3 linked regions of the Tamandua tetradactyla genome follow. The protein of the gene in region 2 interacts with the protein of the main gene of each other region in a biochemical or structural test. Links are inferred from orthologs where the notes say so. Each region holds a gene or a part of one and is shown on either strand. Other genes may lie near its edges.

The links.
Region 1: the proteins of EZR (region 2) and ICAM3 form a complex in vitro, tested with the Homo sapiens proteins (2 studies listed by BioGRID). The link is inferred for Tamandua tetradactyla from reciprocal best matches to the Homo sapiens genes EZR and ICAM3.
Region 3: the proteins of EZR (region 2) and NHERF1 form a complex in vitro, tested with the Homo sapiens proteins (2 studies listed by BioGRID and IntAct). The link is inferred for Tamandua tetradactyla from reciprocal best matches to the Homo sapiens genes EZR and NHERF1.

What each region holds. Positions count from the first base shown.
Region 1 is NC_135337.1:91,452,439-91,456,181, forward strand, and holds the start of ICAM3 (intercellular adhesion molecule 3), read left to right. Parts: upstream 1-1,160; 5' UTR 1,161-2,059; coding exon 2,060-2,138; intron 2,139-2,726; coding exon 2,727-2,993; intron 2,994-3,743. UniProt on the Homo sapiens protein: ICAM proteins are ligands for the leukocyte adhesion protein LFA-1 (integrin alpha-L/beta-2). ICAM3 is also a ligand for integrin alpha-D/beta-2. In association with integrin alpha-L/beta-2, contributes to apoptotic neutrophil phagocytosis by macrophages.
Region 2 is NC_135328.1:151,860,157-151,863,899, reverse strand, and holds the start of EZR (ezrin), read left to right. Parts: upstream 1-1,292; 5' UTR 1,293-1,404; exon of another isoform or gene 1,405-1,489; intron 1,490-1,903; exon of another isoform or gene 1,904-2,187; intron 2,188-2,328; 5' UTR 2,329-2,404; coding exon 2,405-2,416; intron 2,417-3,743. UniProt on the Homo sapiens protein: Probably involved in connections of major cytoskeletal structures to the plasma membrane. In epithelial cells, required for the formation of microvilli and membrane ruffles on the apical pole. Along with PLEKHG6, required for normal macropinocytosis.
Region 3 is NC_135332.1:15,208,801-15,212,543, reverse strand, and holds the start of NHERF1 (Na(+)/H(+) exchange regulatory cofactor NHE-RF1), read right to left. Parts: upstream 2,811-3,743; 5' UTR 2,574-2,810; coding exon 2,133-2,573; intron 1-2,132. UniProt on the Homo sapiens protein: Scaffold protein that connects plasma membrane proteins with members of the ezrin/moesin/radixin family and thereby helps to link them to the actin cytoskeleton and to regulate their surface expression. Necessary for recycling of internalized ADRB2.

The sequences.
Region 1 (3,743 bases), on a different chromosome or scaffold from region 2:
CTGTTTTAGTTTCCTAGGCTGCTTAAAGCAAATACCGTGAAATGGTTCAGCACGAGCAATGGGAATGTATTAGCTTACAGTTTGAGGCCAAGAACATATCCAAATCAAGGCGATGCTTTCTTCTCAAAGGCTGCTGCTGGTGACCCTTGGCTCCTCTGTCACCTGGCAGGGCACATCGTGGTGTCCGCTGGGTCCTCCCTTCTTTCCGGGTTTCATTGACTTCAGCTTCTTGCATCTATGTCTCTCTCACTCTCTCCATTCCATTTATAAAGGACTCCAGCAAGAGGTTTAAGACCCATCCTGATGATATTGCGAGCCATTGATTGTATACTTCACACTTTGGATGGATTGTACGGTGAGTGAAGATATCTCAACAAAAATTAAAAAGACAAACACTGGGGAAAAAAGATGCATCCTGAAAGAGGTGGCTCATGCCTGAACTGAAGCAGCCTCATCAGAAGATCCTACTTACAATGGGCTCACACCCACAGGCATGGAGTAAGTATAGGAACATGCTTTTCTGGGGTACAGAAAACCACACGAACACGGGCCATGGGCCTGGCGTGGTTTGAGTCACTGGGACACAGCTGTGAACTAGACAAAGCTTCCTCCCTTATGTTCTCAAGATTCGATGAACTGCAAGACGAAACCAGTGAGAAAATTTTAAGTACATAAGTCGATGACTTCTGGGGGGAAAACTAAAGTCAGAGTGTGAAATGGGAGACCAGGGAAGGCCTTGCTAAGGTGCCATCAGAGCAGGCAGAGGGGAAGGAGGAAGCCAGGTGGATGTGTAAAGGAAGAGTGGCCCAGGCAGAGGGAACAGCCCATGCAAAGGTCCTGAGGCAGAGATGTGCTGGGTGGGATTGAGGCCCAGCATAGAGGCCAGCGTGGCTGGAGCAGAGAGAGGGAAGGGGAGGCGGGGAGGAGCTGAGGTCAGCGGGGATAGGAGCAGGTAGGGGCCAGATGAATACTCTGCTTTAATTTGGCTTGGGAGTTGCTGGAAGGTGTTAAGTAGAGGGGGTGCTGAGATTGGATTGGGATTTGAGTTGCTCCCTCAATACCATGTGGAATTGTTTGGGCTTGGGGTGGGGGTGGGGATCCTCCAGGTGGGAGAGGGGGTGGGGTGAAGCTTTAGGGATGGGGAGAATGGATGAAGCTGGGGCACCATCAAAGCTATCAACCAAGTCTGTTTTATGGAGCTCGGAGGCAGGATAAGACGCCCCAGAGATGGAAGCGCAGGTGGAGGGGGTCTGCCCACCTGGCCCCTCGGCCCCTTCTCTTGGAGCGAAGAGACCAGCTGTCTGGAGGGAAGGGTGATGAGGGGGACCGGGCAGGGGTGAAGGCCAGTTACAAGCAGCATCCTCAAGACCCAGGGGCCCCGGTCTCGGCCATTGTCAAGGAAAGGGCCCTGCAGGAAGCCAAAGCGGGGCTGGCTGCTCAACCCAGCTCCTGGCACCAAGCCAGCACTCAATCCCCATGGGCTCTGTTCATTTTTTAGGGCTCTTTCTAGGGGATCCCTTATTATCACCCCAAAACCTCTTCTCTGATCACCAGGAACGCTGAGATCTCACACTAACCCCTGGAGGCCATGCCTTGAACTCCTTCTTGAAATACCACCTGATCAGCTCAAAGTCATTTGCGTAGAGCTTCCCACTGACTTCCTCTCTGGGGGCACAGCGCCTCGTGCCCAAGGTTCAGCGGGAAGGCGGGGTCCCTTCCCCTCCAACTTCCCTCGCCGCTGGGGTCCTTAGTACTGAGAACAGAGGAAGACGGTTGGGTTTGCGCTTCCTGTGTGTTCATTTAGGGGACCGCAGAGCTACTGGGACCGGCTCTGTCGGGGACTCACCAGCACCCACCGCCTCGCAGGGCCCCCCCGAGCTGTCCCCTGCAGGCCAGGACCCCCAACCCGAGGCCGCAGAGCCTCCCGCTGCCCCTTCCCCAGGCCTGGCCAAGGTGTGGCCCCTGGATTTCTGCAATCTTAACCGCCGTACTTCCGTCCCTTGGGCGGCCCCACCCCTGCCCCCTACGCCACCTTCCTGTGTGCCACGGGCTGGCCACCATGGTGCCCTCGGGGATGCTGCCTGCGGCCCACCAGGTTCTGTTTGTCTTCGCGCTGCTGGCCTGCCTGCTGCCCCCAGGTGAGCTGGGGTGGGTTGGGGCAGGGTTGGTGGGAAATGGGGGAGCAGAGAAAGCCAAGCTCCCCCACATTCACTGGCCTGGCTGCTTCGCACCTTTCTTTGAACTCAGATCTGACAGAGGGCTCCCCGGTGTCCTCGGGAGGAAGTTGTGCATCCTTAACTCAGGCTCCAGGGCATCCCGGGGCCCCGACCCTGCACATAGTTTGCGTTCTCTTGTTCATCTCCCCACCCATCCACCCACGACTCCCCTGTTCTGTTGGGAACCCCAGCCTTTGCCTATGCTATTCCTCTGCCAGAAACGCTCTTCCCTTTCATTTGGTGAACTCCTATTCACCCTTCAAAACACATTGTAGTTGCCCCCTCTTCTCCAAGAAGCTTTTCCTGACTCACACCCCACTTGGGACTGGATCAGGGCCTCCCCTGGAGTCTCCCCACCCCTGATCAATCATCTGTCCTCCCCCATGGAGGGCAGGCGTCCTTCTGGTGGGGCTCCCCTTTAGATCCCAGAATGAGGAGGTGCTGAATGGTGAGGGGGTGGGGTGGGGGAAGTCAGGGGAGCAACCAACCGAGCTTTCCCGGGTCTCACAGGCATCTGGGGACAGGCATTCTCGCTGTGGGTGGAGCCCCAAGAGCCGCTGGTGCCCCCCCGCGGGTCCCTGCTGGTAAACTGCAGCACCAACTGCCCCGGCACCCCCCACATCACCCTGGAGACGTCCTTGGACAAGGAGCTGCAGGGCCGCGGCGCCAGCTGGGTGGCCTTCTGGCTGCACAAGGTGACTGATGACAGTCGGGTCCTGTGTGCCGTGTCTTGCCACGGCTCCCAGATGTCAAGCTCCACCAACATCACCGTGTACCGTGAGTGGAGTGGCCACGGGCAGTGGGGAGGGGGCGGGCCTGGGGAGGTCACGTCGGTGGGACTAGACTGCCAGCCCTGGACAGACAGGGGGGACACATCTCAACCACATGCTAAGGACAGCAGTGCTGACAGCAGTTTGTCTGGGGTCCCGATAAGCATTTTTACAATGGCATCTCAGGTAATTTATTTATTACTTTAATTTTTATGCTAGGTAATTCGTGTGCAAAAAGTATAAAAAAAAAATGGTGCAAACGCAAAATCTACATTTACCTAATGCTGATGACCAGAGGGCTCTCTTCTAAGCGCTTCACCCCTAGTTGCTCACTCAGCCCGTACAGAAGTCCCCAGCAGAGAGGTGCAGGCATGACCCTCGTTTTGCAGGTGGGGAAACTGAGGCTCGGTGGGGAGAAGCCACTAGTCAGGGTTCCCAGCCCATGAGGTGAGAAGCTGAAAGTCTGGTTCCTTTAACATTTTTTTATTGCGAAATATAACATATACAAAAAAAAATACATTTCCAAGAACATCGCAACAATGTGTTGTAGAACAGATTTCAAAGTTTGGTATGGGTTACAATTCCACAATTTTAGGTTTTTATTTCTAGCTGCTCTAAGATACTCGAGACTAAAAGAAAGATCAGTATAGTGATTCAGCAATCATACTCGTTAATTAAACCCTACCTTCTGGGTGGGCCACGGTGGCTCAGAAGGCAGAGTTCTCACCTGCCATGCTAGAGACCCAGGTTTGATTCC
Region 2 (3,743 bases):
CCTAGGGTAACCTAAAAAAAAAAAACAACTCGCTTTGGGGACTGTAGTATCTCAGTTAATCGGAAATCCTAGGTAGGACGTGCTACTTTCCCCACTTTATATTTACCAAGTTTTAGTTTGATACTTTGTGCAAATCGCGGATTACTCTCAGTGCCAGGCTCAGTTCTAAACATCTTACATGTATCAACTCATTTAATCCTCTAACAACCCTATGATATGGCATACTGTTATATGCCATTTTACAGGTGAAAAGACTATAAAGCACAAAGAGGTTCAATAACTTGCCCATTCTGACAGTGAGTTGCTGGGCAACCGGGAAAGTAGTTCAGGAGAAGATCTGGATGGCAACCTTCAGCCTTCATCCCAATCACCAAGGGCGAGGGTTGGGGAGGGAAGGGTGTTGCTAATACCCAGGCTCCTGGGCCCCACCCCCAAGAGTTTCCCATTGAGTAAATCCGAGAATTTCAGTTTGTTCGTGTTCCTGGGTGGTGCTGATGCCGCTAGTCTGGGGCCCACACTCTTGAGAATCACAGTTCTAGAACTCGCGCCCATAATCACTGTGCAACAAATTCCACTGGTCACCAGATGTGCGTGAGTTTTTGTTTTAAAAAAAGATTCCTTTTGAGAACCATTTGCCAAAAAAAAGGATAAATTCCTAGAATTTCAGAGGAAGCTTCCTACGGCATGAAATAAAGTTTTTTTTTTTTTTTGCTAGTCAAGTCAAACGAGGGCACAAATTGGTCCTTTAGTCACTGCATTCCGCGATCGTTTCCTCTCCTTGTAGCTTAGCGGAAACGGAACCGGAGGCCCGGTGGCCTAATGCGCAGAGACGCCCATGCCCGCCAGGTCCCGCCGCTCGGTTCCTGGGACTGCAACATTCCCTGACCACGAGGACGGCCCCACCCCAAACCCGCACAAGTTCCCAGGGCTGCCCGCCACAACGCACTGATTTAATTCCCTTGACTTCCGTCTGTCACCTTACGTCTGCTATCAGAAGTTAAACCAAATTCTGCCTAGGTTTTCTCCAAGGGCGAGGGAACGGGCCACGGGGAAGGCCGAGGTCTTTAAAACAACAGAAACAGAAAGCAGGGCGGGGGGTGAGGGGCAGGGGATAGCCTGCCCGAGTTTCCTCCGCTCTGGGATGGCCCCGCCGGGGTACAGGGGGCCGCCTGCGAGGCCGGAGGGGTCGGCCGGGCGGGAAGGGACGCCCGCCGCCCGCGGCCATCTTGCGCTCACCGGGGCGCACCTCACTCGTTGGGCGGCCGAGGGGCGGGGCGGAAGGGGGCGCGGCCGGGACATCCCCTCCCAGCCTCGCCCGGGACTGGCGAATGCGGACGGCGGCGGCACACCACGGACGCACAGACAGCGGCGACAGCACAGCAGACCACTTGGCAGACGCCGTGGGTAAGCCGAACGCTTCTGCCCCGGGGTGCGGCGGGGGGCTGCTTAGCGGGGTTGGCGCCGTGCCGTCGGCAGAAGGGAGCCGGAGGTAGGGGGTCGACGACAGCTGTGGCGGGGGCGGCCGGGCCCGACGGGCGGGGGGCAGCCGTCTCGAGTCCGGGGTTGGGGAGCCAGGAGCCAGCCCCTCTCTCCTCCGCCTCGCTCGAGTTCCCTTACCCGGCACCGCTCACGGTCGACCCCAGATCGTGGCAGGTGGTGGCCGCCGGCTGCGGAAACGCCCGCCTTTCTTCCACCCTCTCCCTGCACATCCCCCTTCTCCTCCCCCCGGGAGTGGAAGCGGGGCCCGGGCGGCGCGGACGCCCCTTCCTTCCTGCCGCACTCGGGTCGAGCGGGCCCTTGGCCGCTTCCCGGCAGTTAAAATTTTAAAAAAGTGTTTCTCAAAGATGTGACTGTTGTGGTTTCAGCCCGGGGGCGAACGGTTGCTACACAAAGTGAAACTTACTGTTTGCTGGTTTACTCGTTGCTTCCTTGAAACCCAGAGAAGCACCTCGCTGCCCACCCTTCGGCGAGACCCTCGTCTTCCGGGCCCCTCCCTACCGCTCGCACCTCCTCGCGGGAGCGCTGAGGCCCGCGCCCCCTTCCCCGCCGCCCGCCTCCCGGGGTCGCTAATGCTCCCTTCCCACGTCTGTCTCCCTGCCCGGGCCCACGCCCCGAGGTCGCCTGCGGCCGGCTCCCCCTCCGCCAGCCTTTCGGCCTCGAGCGCTGGGCCCGCCCGGCCCGCAGTAATTGTGGGTTGGGCGGTGACTCACCCGGGCGCCCGCCGGGCGGGTTCTTAAGCCGCGGCGCGCGGGGCGGGCGTGGGGTCTCCGTCCTCGGCGGGAGGATCCCAGCAGCCCTGTGCCTTACAGGACTGTCCTCTTCCTCCAGGTTGGAAGAATCACTTCGGCCTCTCCCGCGGAGCTGAGTTTCTAGAGAATCGACGAAAACACGCCAGGAACCGAAAATGCCGAAACCAGTAAGCAATCCAGTTTCCGACCCGGGCGGGATACTTCAAGCTTTACTTTCAAGCAGGGTCACCTGCATGAAGTGTTGTGGAAAGTAGTTGTAGTACAGGGTTCTTTCTTAAACGAACGAAAGGACGGGAATAGGGAATTGCCTTGCTCTTGGTCATTTAGGTACCTTGTGGAATTCTTCAAGAAAACATCATGGTACTTTTCTTTCTACAGTTTGTGTGTGTGAGACATCCCTCGGTCCCCATAGCTATGGTCCTTTTTAAAACAAATAGAAGCCCCTATTACACTGCTTTATAGTGTGTTCTAAAAGCGTATTCTGTTGCAACTTCTTAAAAAGAAAAGTTGTCTACATGGTAGGAAGACGCTAAGTGGCTTCAAGAGGACATGCACCGACTTGGATTTAAGTGTGGAAACCAAATGTAACCGACTTCTTCCTTTAGCCCAGGAGATGCTGTTTTTCTGGCTGTCAGCTTATGGTTCATTTTACAGCAGGCCTGTGAAACCCGTACTGTTAACCAGGGAATTTGCTGGTAGCAGCAGAATTCCTATCTCTAGAAGAGGTAATGGACTTGAATTGCAGATGAAGGTAGCCAGTGGAGCTTGATAAGGAGGTTCCTTAGACTCTTGCAGGTCATGCATTCCTGGTAAACAATACCTGATTAAAGTTCTCCTGTGCCCTTCACCCCTGTCACCTTGAATCTGATTGTTTAGTACTGGGTTAGATTGCTGGCCAGGCCTGGAGGGTTACAGCCTTTGAGTTGTGGGAATAAATCTGGTTTACTGCAAATGACATTTCTTAGAAACTTGTGTGTATGCTCCTGGCTTTAACACAGGTGAACTGGCGACTAGACATTGGGGAGATGGCTTAAAATTTTAAATTGAATTTTGAATCACAAATGTGGCTGGGTTCCCTCAGAATTGCAATAGGTTGGTTTTATAATCAACAACTGGTTAAATGTCGGTTTTATTCCTTCCCATTAAACTGTAGAGTCTGTAAAAGGAGTTCTTGATTAAGTCTTATTTTACCGTTAAGAGTAAATTAAATTACTATAATGATATGTTAATAGATACAGAAGTAAATATTATTTTTACTTGTTCTATCTTCAAGGTGATTCATTTGGGATCCAGAACATCTTTTTCCTATACAAAATAATTCTTTTCTTTTCAAATTTACAAGTGACACGTGAAATCTGGGCTTTATAATGCCAATGTTGTAAAACTGACTTCTCTAATCAGACATAGCTCAGTTAACACTTTATGCAGAAGAGTAGTCAAGAGGTGCCACTTCCAGTGTGATTTTCTTTATTTCACTAAAAGAAAAGATGCAGA
Region 3 (3,743 bases), on a different chromosome or scaffold from region 2:
GATTTGATGTTTTATGTAGGAAAGGAATGGCTTTTAGCGAAAATAAAAAAAAGTTCTTACAGCAAGGTGGGTTGCCTGACCCCTCACCATACGGAGAGGGACTGGCCAGGCCTGACTGGCCATAAATAAGGTGGAAGGAGTCAGCTACACAATCTGGGATATGAGCGCCCGGGCCTGAAGGAGCTCAACTAAGCACCTAGTAGGAGCTCAAGAACCTCCCAATTATTTGGGAGATCCTACAACACCCACATTTCACAGATGGGAAAACCAGGGCTCAGGGAAGCCCTGTGGCTTGCTTGTTGACCTGTGACCTGAGAGAGGTCTGGTTATGGTTTCCCTAGGACTCTCTGGAAGTGGTTCTGCTCCCTTCTCCTGACCTAGCAAAGTACAAACAAGTGTAGGTAGGCCGAGTAGCAAACCAACATCTGGGGAGTCTCAGTCTGTTCTCATCCAGAGAAGTCCTCAGAGCAGGGCTGTTCTCTGGGTGTGCGTTGCCTTTTCCAAGCCTCCAGTCTCCGCACTCCCTCCCAGGCCCTAGGGCACTGCACCCAGCAGAACAAAAAGGGCAAAGGGAGGAGCTGAACACAACCGCAACGTGTGTGTGTGTGTGTGTGTGGGGGGGGCGTTATTTGTGTTGGTGCCAAAGTTCAAAACAAACAACAAAAAAGGCAAATCGATGCACTCAGCACAAAGTTCAAACCAGCTTTCCACCTGGAACCAGAGGTCATTGGTTCTAACTCCCTGGTGTTAACCCCCTGCCAGGGGTGCTCTGGTTCCTCCCCCACCCCTTGCCAATGCCAGCTTGGCACTGGCAGGAAGTGGGAGCCTGGCGGCCTTGGCATTCCCAGCACCCGGCTCCGGCTGGACAGTACTCCTAGTGACCTCACTTCCCTCACTTACACTAAACCAGCTGGTCTTCTGGGGCTCCACCTTCCACCTCAAAGCCGAATTATGCCCTTCCTCTGCCCAAGGAGGCTCCAACTGGCACCACTGGCACCCTTCCTACACGCTGCCACCAGGGAGAGCTGGTGCAAGCTCACTGGACCCCGGCAGAGCCTAGGCCCTGCACTTCACTGTCTGCACCCGGGGGGACCTCCCAGTGTCCCTCCCTAGGGGACATGAGGCTCAGAACAGCAATGCCTGTTTTGCCAGCTGCCCCTCCTGCAGCTGATCCAAACTGGGATCGTCTGGGGCAACACCAAATGCAGGCAAGCAGCAAGCAACCAGTTTGTTGGGAGGGGACAAGAGTGCCACAGGGGATGCTGGGGGAAGCCCACCTGCCTAGGTATGATACACCGACTGCCAACCCGTCCCCCTGCATTCTTTCTCCTCTTCCAAAGTCCTCCTTGCCGAGCCCTGATACAGGCTAGCGCTTACTCCTCACATTCCTGAGAATCATAAATTCTCCTGGGTGGCAGAGCCGCCACCACCCCCAGACGCCTCTGCGTCTCCTCCTCCCATCCCTCCCCCACACAGCTGCTTAGACAGGTCTGCAGGAGGACGATGAAGTCCAGGAGAGCTGAAGAAGGGCGCAAACCATGGAGGGTTCGGGCAGAGGAGAAAGACAGAGACCAGGAGTAACCGCCCGACACCCCTTTCTTCCCACTCCGGGGCTGGGCCTCCGCATGTAAAGGAAATTGGGACTCTTCTGGCTTTTTGAAGTCGGGGCCACGCTCGCTGTTCCTCCGGCTTCAGTTACCCCCCTCCTAGGGGCCGAGGAGGAAGGTTAGGCGGCGGGTCCCTCCTGCCGGCCCAATTACAGGGTGGGGACCGCCGAGGAGAGGGCCATTACACAACTAATTGGAGGGTTCCGAGGAACGGGCGAAAACGCCAACAGAGCCGAGGCAAAGGGACGGGGCTCTCCTGGGCCGCCCCCATCCCCTCCCCGCCAACCCCAAGACCAACCGAGAAGAGGGGCAGACGGCGCTCAGGGGCCCAGGCAGTGTGGAAAGGATGCTGGGGTCGTGGGACGCTGCCCCCAGGCCTGCCTAGGAACTGGAGATGCGCCAGGTCGGCGGGCGGAAGCAGCCGCCCCTCCTCGCCGCTCGAGTTCCAGAAAGACAGCAGCGGGCGCGGGGCTGCACCTCCGAGACGCCCGGGTCCCCGTCACCCCGCCTGGGCCCCGCACTTACCCGCTCGGGGGGGCTCTTCTCGGCCTCGCGCGCCTCTTTTTCGTCGCCAGGCCCCGGCGCCTCGGCGGCGGCGGGTGGCTCGGCCTGCCCGGGCCCGTCCTGGGCGCGTAGCAGCTCCTCCCGGACCTGGACGCCCAGCTTCTGCAGCCGCTCGTCCGTCTCGGGGTCGACCACCAGCAGGCGCACGGCGTTGAGCGCGGCGCGGATGCGGCTCACCACCTGCTGGTGGGTCTCCGTCTCCACGTTCTCTCCGTTCACCGCCACCAGCCGGTCCCCGGCCAGCAGCCCCGCCTTCTCCGCCGGCGAGCTGGGCTCCACCAGCCGGATGAACTGGCCCACCTTACCCTTCTCGCCGTGCAGGTGGAAGCCGTAGCCGTTCGGGCCCTTCTCCAGGCAGCAGAGCCGGGGCAGGGGCGCCCCGGCCGCCGCGTCCGCGCTCATCTCGCCCCGCGACGCCTCAGCGGCGCGACGCGCGTCCCGTCGGTGGCCGGCCCAGCCCTTCTCCGGCCTGGCGAGGCCGGGAGGCGGGAGGGAGCGCGGCAGGGACTCCCCGCAGCCGAGCGGAGAGAGCAGGTGTCCCGGGAGCGGCGGCCGCCGACTTCGGGAAGCGTGAGGAAAGGCGCGCAGACCAATCCCCGCGGAGCGCGGCGTCTGAGCTTTCCAGAATCCCGCCAGCCCCTTACCCCGGGGGCGGGGCCGCGCCGAGGGTGTGGGCCGCCGCGGGCCAATCAGGGCCCACGGGGTGGGGGCGCTGTGGCCGGGTGAACGTCGTAGGCCAATCGGATCCTGCGGGGGCGGGGCCAGTGCTCGGCGCGGCGCCCCGCGGCGGGCGAAGAAAGAGGACTCAGGAAGTGGAAGTGTTTGTTACCAAGTGGCCGGAGTCGCGGCGGGAGGGGCGGGGGCAGGGCCGAGTTCCTGGTACTGGGCGGAGGGGCCCGTGAGCTCCGTTCTGGTTTCACCCACCTGTGGCGGGGGATTGAGGACACCCTACCCTAGGGTAAAGGACCCTAACGTTTTAACGGCCCAAATCCTGGGTGTAGCTTCAGTTGAGGGGTGGACGATTGTTGCCGGGGAAACCGCTCCAGGTCCTGGTCAGCGAGTTCCCAACGGGGTTGTGAATAAGACACAGGACCACCTCTGACCCAATAAAGTTGCTTAGATGACGATATTTTCCCGTTCTTGGAGTCAGTTTCTGCTATCCCCGGATCCGTTTATGGGAGTGCAGCTTCACATCCCTTCCAGGGAGGGTGAGCGCTTTGCAGAGAGCCCGAGGCTTCGCGGGGAGCCGTCTAAAGACAGGACACCTCGGGCAGTGGTGTGGCCATGGCATCGGCCTTAGGCTAGGGAGCTGGGGTGGGGAGAGGCAGGACAGAGTCAGGAATTCCACGTCTGGATACAGACCGCAGGAAAAGAACACCTGACTTTTTTCAACAAAGAGAAATGAGGCTTGTATAAGAGAAGCCTTCTTGCAGCTTTTCCTTTTGGCACGTGAGGGCCCATCAGAGGCTGGGGTGTACTCTTGTTAGGGGTGTACTCTGTTGAATGATGAAGATTGAATACGTTTGGCTCCCAATGACAGTTCCCCCCAAACACAATAACATCCCTTCAACA